2 linked regions of the Caenorhabditis elegans genome follow. The protein of the gene in region 1 interacts with the protein of each later gene in a pairwise test. Each region holds a gene or a part of one and is shown in the gene's direction. Other genes may lie near its edges.

The links.
Region 2: the proteins of nhr-12 (region 1) and C52A11.3 interact in a two-hybrid assay, tested with the Caenorhabditis elegans proteins (one large-scale study listed by BioGRID).

The regions. Positions count from the first base shown.
Region 1 is NC_003283.11:10,081,302-10,085,673, reverse strand, and holds nhr-12 (Nuclear receptor), read left to right. Parts: upstream 1-1,624; 5' UTR 1,625-1,651; coding exon 1,652-1,845; intron 1,846-2,030; coding exon 2,031-2,116; intron 2,117-2,162; coding exon 2,163-2,753; intron 2,754-2,814; coding exon 2,815-2,929; intron 2,930-2,979; coding exon 2,980-3,259; intron 3,260-3,324; coding exon 3,325-3,429; 3' UTR 3,430-3,541; downstream 3,542-4,372. Other genes in the region: R04B5.6 (Sorbitol dehydrogenase), read right to left, coding at 1-19, 208-393; nhr-205 (Nuclear Hormone Receptor family), read left to right, coding at 3,990-4,111, 4,289-4,372. UniProt on the Caenorhabditis elegans protein: Orphan nuclear receptor.
Region 2 is NC_003280.10:10,735,597-10,739,206, forward strand, and holds C52A11.3 (PDZ domain-containing protein C52A11.3), read left to right. Parts: upstream 1-1,762; 5' UTR 1,763-1,805; coding exon 1,806-1,832; intron 1,833-1,987; coding exon 1,988-2,128; intron 2,129-2,172; coding exon 2,173-2,319; intron 2,320-2,488; coding exon 2,489-2,569; 3' UTR 2,570-3,032; downstream 3,033-3,610.

The DNA.
Region 1 (4,372 bases):
AACTCTCATGGCCTAAAACCTGAAAACTTTTTTTTTTAATTTTTAAATACACTTTTTTGTTCACTGGAGTTTTTTAACAGAAATATTTTATTTTAAAATTGATTATTTTGATTAAAAAAAGGAGGTTGTACTATACATGTGTTCTGTCAAAATAAAAGGGTTGAATTACTCACGGTAACACTATAAAATTACTTTTATATTTCTCACCATCGGTTCTTTAACAACAAATGATCCAATTGCTCCGTGTGTCAAAAAGTGTACATCACTTCCACAAATACCAACAGTATTAATTTTAACAAGAACTTGTCTTGGTCCCGGTTTGGAAATTGGAGCTTGTTCAAGACGTAAATCGTTTATTCCGTAGAGGACAGCAGACAAATTATCTTGAGACATTTCAAATTAGAAGGATTTAATATCAGGTTAAAAATTGAATAAAAGGATGCTTTCACGAATAAGCGGATGCTGAGCTCAACTACGTTGTTGTTGAGAGTCTGGCAGAATGGACACATGTCAGTGCCCAGTACAAAATGTTACACCCATTTATTTTGATATTATCGCATCAAGCCAAGCTGGTCAAAAACTAAAACAACTTTATCACAGGAATTCAAACAGAAAATTCATACTACATCCTACTGGTGTTCATTAGTAAATATATAATACAAGACGTATAAGACAATTTTCAGAAATTCCAAATATCAGGTTACCATAAATCTCGGAATTAATACGAAACATCATACTAGTTAAATGACAATTTTGTAAGTCAGATGAAACATTGAAGGAATGTTTAATGTTTGCACAGTAATTAGCTAAAAATTTCAAAATTTGATTTTGTTGAAGAACTTTAAATTCAAAATTATTTTGCCCGAAAGTTGAGGATTTTTTTCTATTGAAACAAGAATGTATGTTATCCTGTGCATAAATGAGTATGAAACAAAAAAAAGTCCCATTAGAAATCATAGACATGGTCTAGCTTTTAAACCATTAGGTTTGCGGATCAAGATTAAAATTCGAATTTCGGTACCGCTTTTATTGGGGATATCAAAAATTGGTTTGCGCTGCTGTGGAGGAGTGCCGAAAAAATAGTATTAATTCGTGAATTTTCATGTGCATATTATTCGATCAGAAAGTTAAACGAGCATTCTAGATTGAATATCAAAAGTTTCGGAATCATAGAATTAGAGAAAATTATTTGTTTGTTTTATAGTCTGTTTTTTATGCCATTTTTTGCCTAAATTAAAAATTGAAATATGAGTTGTGTTGTTTCTTGTTATTTAGTAACAAACATAAAGTCACTTTTGTCGTAAGATATATTTTGTAGTCAGGTAGTTGAAATGTCATCATCACCGTTATCTTTCTAGAAACTCAATCAATAATACATGAGACGCAGACACTACAAATACGCTATTCTCTGTTCTGTGATCTCGCTACGAACCAGGCTACAAACTACAACCTAGCCGTCTCACGCACACTATTTCTCTTCTTTGTAGTCTTCTCTGTCAATACACTCCAATACATTTGGCCACACAAACGTGTCTCGCCTCTATTTTCTCTTATTTCTCACCTTTTTATTTTCTACATTTTTCAATTTTTGATATAATAATTTTTCGTTACAAAATCTTAATATTTTCAGGAAAATAAAAATTTTCACAAAATGGAGCAGATACCTCAGGAACAAAAAACAGAACCTTTTCTTGCTTCATTCACGACTACAGAAAAACTTGGAACGGAAACACCGACTACGTCAATTACTCCTAATACTCAATTTCGTGGAAGGTATGAAAAACCAAATTGTGCGGTTTGCAATGAAGTTGGAGATGGATTACATTTTGGAGCAGAAGCTTGCAGGTACCTTTTTGATTTTTTATTGATCACCGGTTGTTTTAGTAATTGAAAAGTTTATCGGGCAATCGACTTCAAGAATTTTTAAAATTCATTTATATATTTGATTAACTTTTTCCAATTATTTTTTAACAAGATCTCAATTGAAAGTTCTAATAGCTTAACACTTATAATTTCCAAAAAACTTTAAGAGCATGTACTGCATTTTTCCGACGGAGCGTGGCACTTTCAAAGAAATATGAATGCAGAGCAGGCAGAAACTGTGAAGTTTCTTCGAGTAAGTATAGCGATCATTTTTCAAATTATTTGTTTTCTTCTTTCAGATATTCGATGCATGTGCCGCTCGTGTCGATATGACAAATGTATAGAAGTTGGAATGAATCCAGAATGTGTTCAGAATCGTCGAGAAAACGATACTCCCAAAGCTGATCTTCAATTTGATACTTCAAAAACTGAAATCAGACGACCAATTCCAAATTTTAATATTGTTCCACAGGCTTCAGCTGTTCCATCAACATCCAACTTTATGGATTTTTCAATATTCAAAGATACACCAATCAGTAATTTTTCGGCATTCTCCCCTGCATCGCTTCCTGGACTCAGTTCTTCACCATCTCTTGAAACGATGCCTCTTCTCGAAAGAATGAGAATTAATTATGATAAAATGGAAAATGCAAGGAATGTGATTCATCGAAGAGAAGGAGAAAATATATTTCAACAAAAAGTTCCAAGAGCAATCACATTTCGAGAGGCAACTGAAGTAACAACAAAGGAAGTTTCATTAGTTGCTGATTGGATCGAATGGTGTTTTGACGATTTTGGATTATTACCTGTTGATCAGAAAACGATTTTGTTTCAAAACTTTTTTGTGTTTTTCTGTATGCTTGAAAGAGCATTCATGACTGTCAAAAGTGGTGAGTTTTTTTTTGAAAACTAATACGAGAAATCAAAACTTTAAAACATGAATGATTTCAGGACGTGATGGAATTGTTGTAATGGCTTCAAAAGACTATATTGACTACGATAATCTTGAAGGATTTTTCAAAGAATGCAATAGTGGAACAGGTGGTACTCCTGCAGAAATTGCAAAGTAAGTAAATGTTCCGTTCATGAAACGTTGTCCTGACAGTGGTACTTCAGACTTTGCAGACTGATTAGGCCGTCATTCGAATTACAAAAGAGGAGTCTTATCAACTTGATGCGATTGGAAAATGTAGATTCTTACGAGTTTTTTGCATTATGCGTTATGTTGTTCTGGGATTTTGGATTGGAAGGACAGTCTGATGAGTGTAATGAAGTTGGACGACGAGTCAAACATCGAGTTACAAGAGAAATGACTTTTTATTTGAGAAATGTTAAGAAACACGAAGAACCACTTTATAGGATGGCAAGTGTCGTGTCTATTCTGCCAAGCTTACAGGTAATTTTTTGATAAATTATTCATTGAAAAATCGAAAGTACGGTGTTTAACTATTTTTATTCCAGAGAGCAGTTCGCCGTTTCCAAGAGGACATCGAAATGGCTAATATCTTCAATATTTATGCTCTACCTGAGAATTTCGTCAATATTATAAATGGAAAATTTAATTGATTGTGGTTTTTCTATCTGTGATATACTTTTGTCCATCTTTCATTGAAACCTTGTAACTAATAGCTGTGATCTTTTTCGAAAAATTAAATAAATAAGTATTAATTAAACTTTCTCGGTCAAAATTTTGGAATATCACTTATGATTGTTTTGTTGAAAACTCCGCTTTTCAATTTCAAATTTTAACTGTGTACATGAACTAGCAAATTTAAACAAAATGAAAATGGTAATTCCCTAGAAAATATGAAAATATGCTCTATCCGTTAGTTGTTACTCTTAAAATAAGTTTAAGTAGAAAACAGTTTCCAATCTTCTGACCCTTTGAACATAAAAATGTAGTTATTGTAGTTTGGCTTCATACTTGAAAATAGCACGATTTTGTAAGAGAGTTTTGGTTGTACCCGATAAGAAAAAACAAGTCTCAACAGGTCACAAAGGCTACAAACGTAGGCAGTATCTCAATTCTCTCACTTGGACCAGGCAACGTATTCTCTTGTTCGTATCTTTCTACTTTTTGTCTGTGTTTCTATTTCTATTGCACTCACTTATAATATTATGAAGTTATGGATTCATTGAATTTCCAATTTTTTGAACAAGGATTATCACAAAAGGAAACAAAAAAACCGAACTGTGCAATTTGTGGCGATGTTGGGGATGGTCATCACTTTGGTCTCGATGCGTGCAGGTTGGTTTCAAATAATGGGGTTATTCAAGTAATATCGGAAAATTAAAGTGTAGAAAAATTACGACGCAACTGTATTCAAGTATATAAAAACATGTATTTAAATACATTTTGCTACATTGCTTAAATAACCTCATAAGAATATTATTGTTTAAGTTACAATAACAATTTTAATTTAAGAGCTTGTGCCGCATTTTTCCGAAGAACTGTGGCTCTGGGAAAAAAATTCGAATGTCGACAGCAAGGAGCTTGTAAAATTAATAC
Region 2 (3,610 bases), on another chromosome or scaffold:
AAATTATTTACAGGATATTTTCTACTTATTTGAAATGAAAATTCGTGACTTTTGCGCTAACCAGACCTGGTCTGGGAGAACCGATTTTTCTAAAACCATCCTATCTGAATTATGACAAATATAATTGCTCTACCAGAACCCCAGTTTATACTTTATTCAAACTTAATTTATACTTATCAATTGGCATTTTCGCCGATTCAATTTCAAACAAGTTTGGCTAAAAGAGAGCAAGATGACAGAAGTATGTGAGTTTGATGTGGGCAGAGGAACAGGTGATTTTTTGAAAAAAGAGGAAAGATGGAAATAGAAAATGCCGTACGAAAAAAGTTAATTCACATTCTTCGTTTTTCGGAAATCCAAAACCTGAATTACATTCACACGGAGGCTCGTTTCTTTCGGTGTCTTCTGCTTCTGACAACACAGAGTCTCCTTGACAACGATTCGTGGCTCAAATGGAGTGAGAATTCGAAGAAAAGGTAGTAGAAGGGAATAGAAAGAGGAAAGGGATTCAGAAAAAATTGTTCGAAGAATTGTTCTGTCTTAAATTAACGGGGGAAAACAGGATCTGTTTACACGCTACAATGAGAAGTTTTGTAGAATTATGTACATTCTGAAAGCAATAGAAATACAATTTTGAAATCAAGTGCTCGTGAAAAAGGAATATTCCAGATTAAATACAAATACAAAAATAAAAATCTAAAGTATTCAAGTCAGGGAATTTTCGTACAAAACATGACAGTCCAATTTTTTCCTGGGAAGGAATAACAACATTTAAAGAGCGAATTGAAAATGAGAAAAATAATTGAAATTTTTTAGAAAAAGACTTTAAAAAAAGTGTGGTGCGTCAGAAAATCTTCAGATCAATTTCCCAAAAACCGAACTTAGGTACAAGAAAAAGCTAGAAAAAAAGGGTTAAAATTCAGCTATGTGCAATTTTTTTTTGAATTTTGGCAACTTTCAAAATTATCATACATTTTTTAAAAAGGAGTCAAATTTATATTTTGTGAAAAATTCGATTTTTTGCCGAATAAAAATTCTGAATGATTTTTTTTCCATGACACATCTAGTTTCAAACAATGTTAGCTTGTCTGATCTTCTTTTTTGAAATGAGACATATTTTTACGCATGTTAACCTCGAAATTATTAAAACTTTAAAAAAAGGAGCGGAAATGATTTTTCAAACTCCGCACAAGGTAAGATATAAGGCACAAACCAGTCGGAACTACAAAATTAACAAATTTTATATGGAAGAAAATTTTAACTTTTTGTTTTTATTTTTAACGTTTGACAGATAATATTTGCGAAAATCTGGTTAGAACAGAATTTTGGTAGCAGCTGACATTTTCTTAGATTATATTTCACTAATTTTAAATATATATTTGCAATTATTTACTGATTGTGAGAACTTTCAAGTTGATTTAGAACAAGTAAAAAAAATTAAGAACTTCTAGACTGTAGGCATGCAAGTTTTTTAACGTCATTCTTACTCATCTCAGTTTGGAAACCCCTTCTCTGATCATACTAAATAATTTATTTGAGATTGTTAGCAACAAAAAAGTCCCTAAAGTGATGACTATTGTGATTCATAATTATATAAATGTTCAATATATCACGCGTTACCCTATGATCTCATGAAAATGATCAGAGGGTAAATATGATTTATTCAAAAACAATGAAATATAATGTTAATTGGAGAGGTAAAGTTTGAGCCGGGAAGGTATAAATATAAAGTTGAGAGTAATCATTTTCTGATGAAAGATTTTTACTATCAGTTTGGACCATAACTTTCTACGGATTCCAGAACAATGCGACGAATCACTTGCTGCTTTCCGGTAATTAATCGTTTTGTGGAAAAATAATTATTGAACATTAGGATTATTATTCAAAAATACTGCCCCTTTGCTTGACAATTTTTGAAACAATTTTCAAGTATAAAACATATAAAACATCCTAAAGAGCTTATGAAACATATTTAATAATACTACAGATAAAAATTCACCGAAGACAACCACCTAGTCCACCATCAACTATCACATTGAGCAGTTATGAGTACAGTTCACTCGCTGTCGGAATCATTTCCGATTTGAAAGAAGAGGGTTGTGATACATTACTTGTCAAGCTTCAGAAGGTTTTCATCAACACTTCCATTATACTTTCATAGATTTTTCTCAGGATGCCAATCGGAAAATCGGAATGGGAGTCGGGGTAAGAGATCGTGGAATCCTCATAACCACTGTAGTACCTGGATCGGTTGCCGCTGAGAAATTGAAAGTTGGAGATCGTATTTTGGCGGTCAATGGACGTCCAATTTTGGATCAGGTAAGAATGATACAACAAATAGGAGACACAATAAAATTATCCAAAAACTGACTGAAATTGAAAAAATTTTCTAAGGGGGAAATTTGTGCAAGATGCGAGCAAGACTAACTAGTTTATATTTATAACAAACATTTAGATATCCGATATCTATATTTGTCACTTACTTCAGCGCTCGGTGGTGAAATCGGTCAAAGCATCTGGTCAACGACTGTATCTTCAAATCGCCCGTCCTCACAAGGTACATAAATAATGGTCCCTATATTTTAATTATTGCGCTACGAACAGTTTCTTTTTATCTTCTAATTATTTGAAATCGTATATTTCTTCCCAAAAATTATTTTCCAAAAGGCTAATTTCAGCAAAAAGCCTCAACCAACCTCATCAACTTTTTTTGGCATTACCAAAGTTTCTAAAATTTGTTGAAGTTTGCTGCAAGAAATTGATAAGATACAATAATTATTTCCCCAACGAACCCTTTATCTGTACCAAAATTCAAATCTCGCATTGTAACGGAATGCACTTACTTACTGTTGTAGATTTTATCCGTCAAAAAATCTATTTTGCTAGCAATTTCACCTCCTCACACACGCTATAACATTTTTTTTCCTGACTAACCTCAACAGTTTTATTGTAACGATCTTAAAAAATTATTGAACTTCCTGGTGGGAGGTTACTCGACTAATTGGAATATTTATGAAATATTAAAAAAAAACAATAAACACAAGAAAAACAGTTTATTATATACTATTCATGCGTGGGAAATTATCCAAAAATAAAACAATGAAAGATCCAAAATAAGGACTAAAAGATAGAACACTAAACTTAAGGAAATAATATCACCGCATACTTTGCAAATGGGTGTAAAACGACTAGATATTCAGCATGTTTGGAACGAATTGAATAGTTTTCAAAAAAAAAAACGGTAAAACTTCAAAAAGAAAAACATTTCAAAAAAGTACCCTGCAGAGTTTGACAGAAGAGGCGAGACATAATTGACTGCCTACAAAATGCATAAAATTGCTCGCCTATATTTCAAAAAAAAAAATTCAAAAAAAATTAAGAAAAAAATATGGAAACCTGAGTTGTGTTGAAAGTTGGGGGAGAGGATTCGAATCAAGAAAAAAACAAGGAAATAATTTTAAGGGGGAAGCGGTACGAATAACATTGAGCACTTTTGAAGGTAGGAATGCTAGAATATTATTAGAAGTTCGTCAGAAAATGAACGACGAATATGAAGGGAAAGAGTGTAAAACCCGGAAATCGAAACGAATTGAGTGTTTGATCACCTACA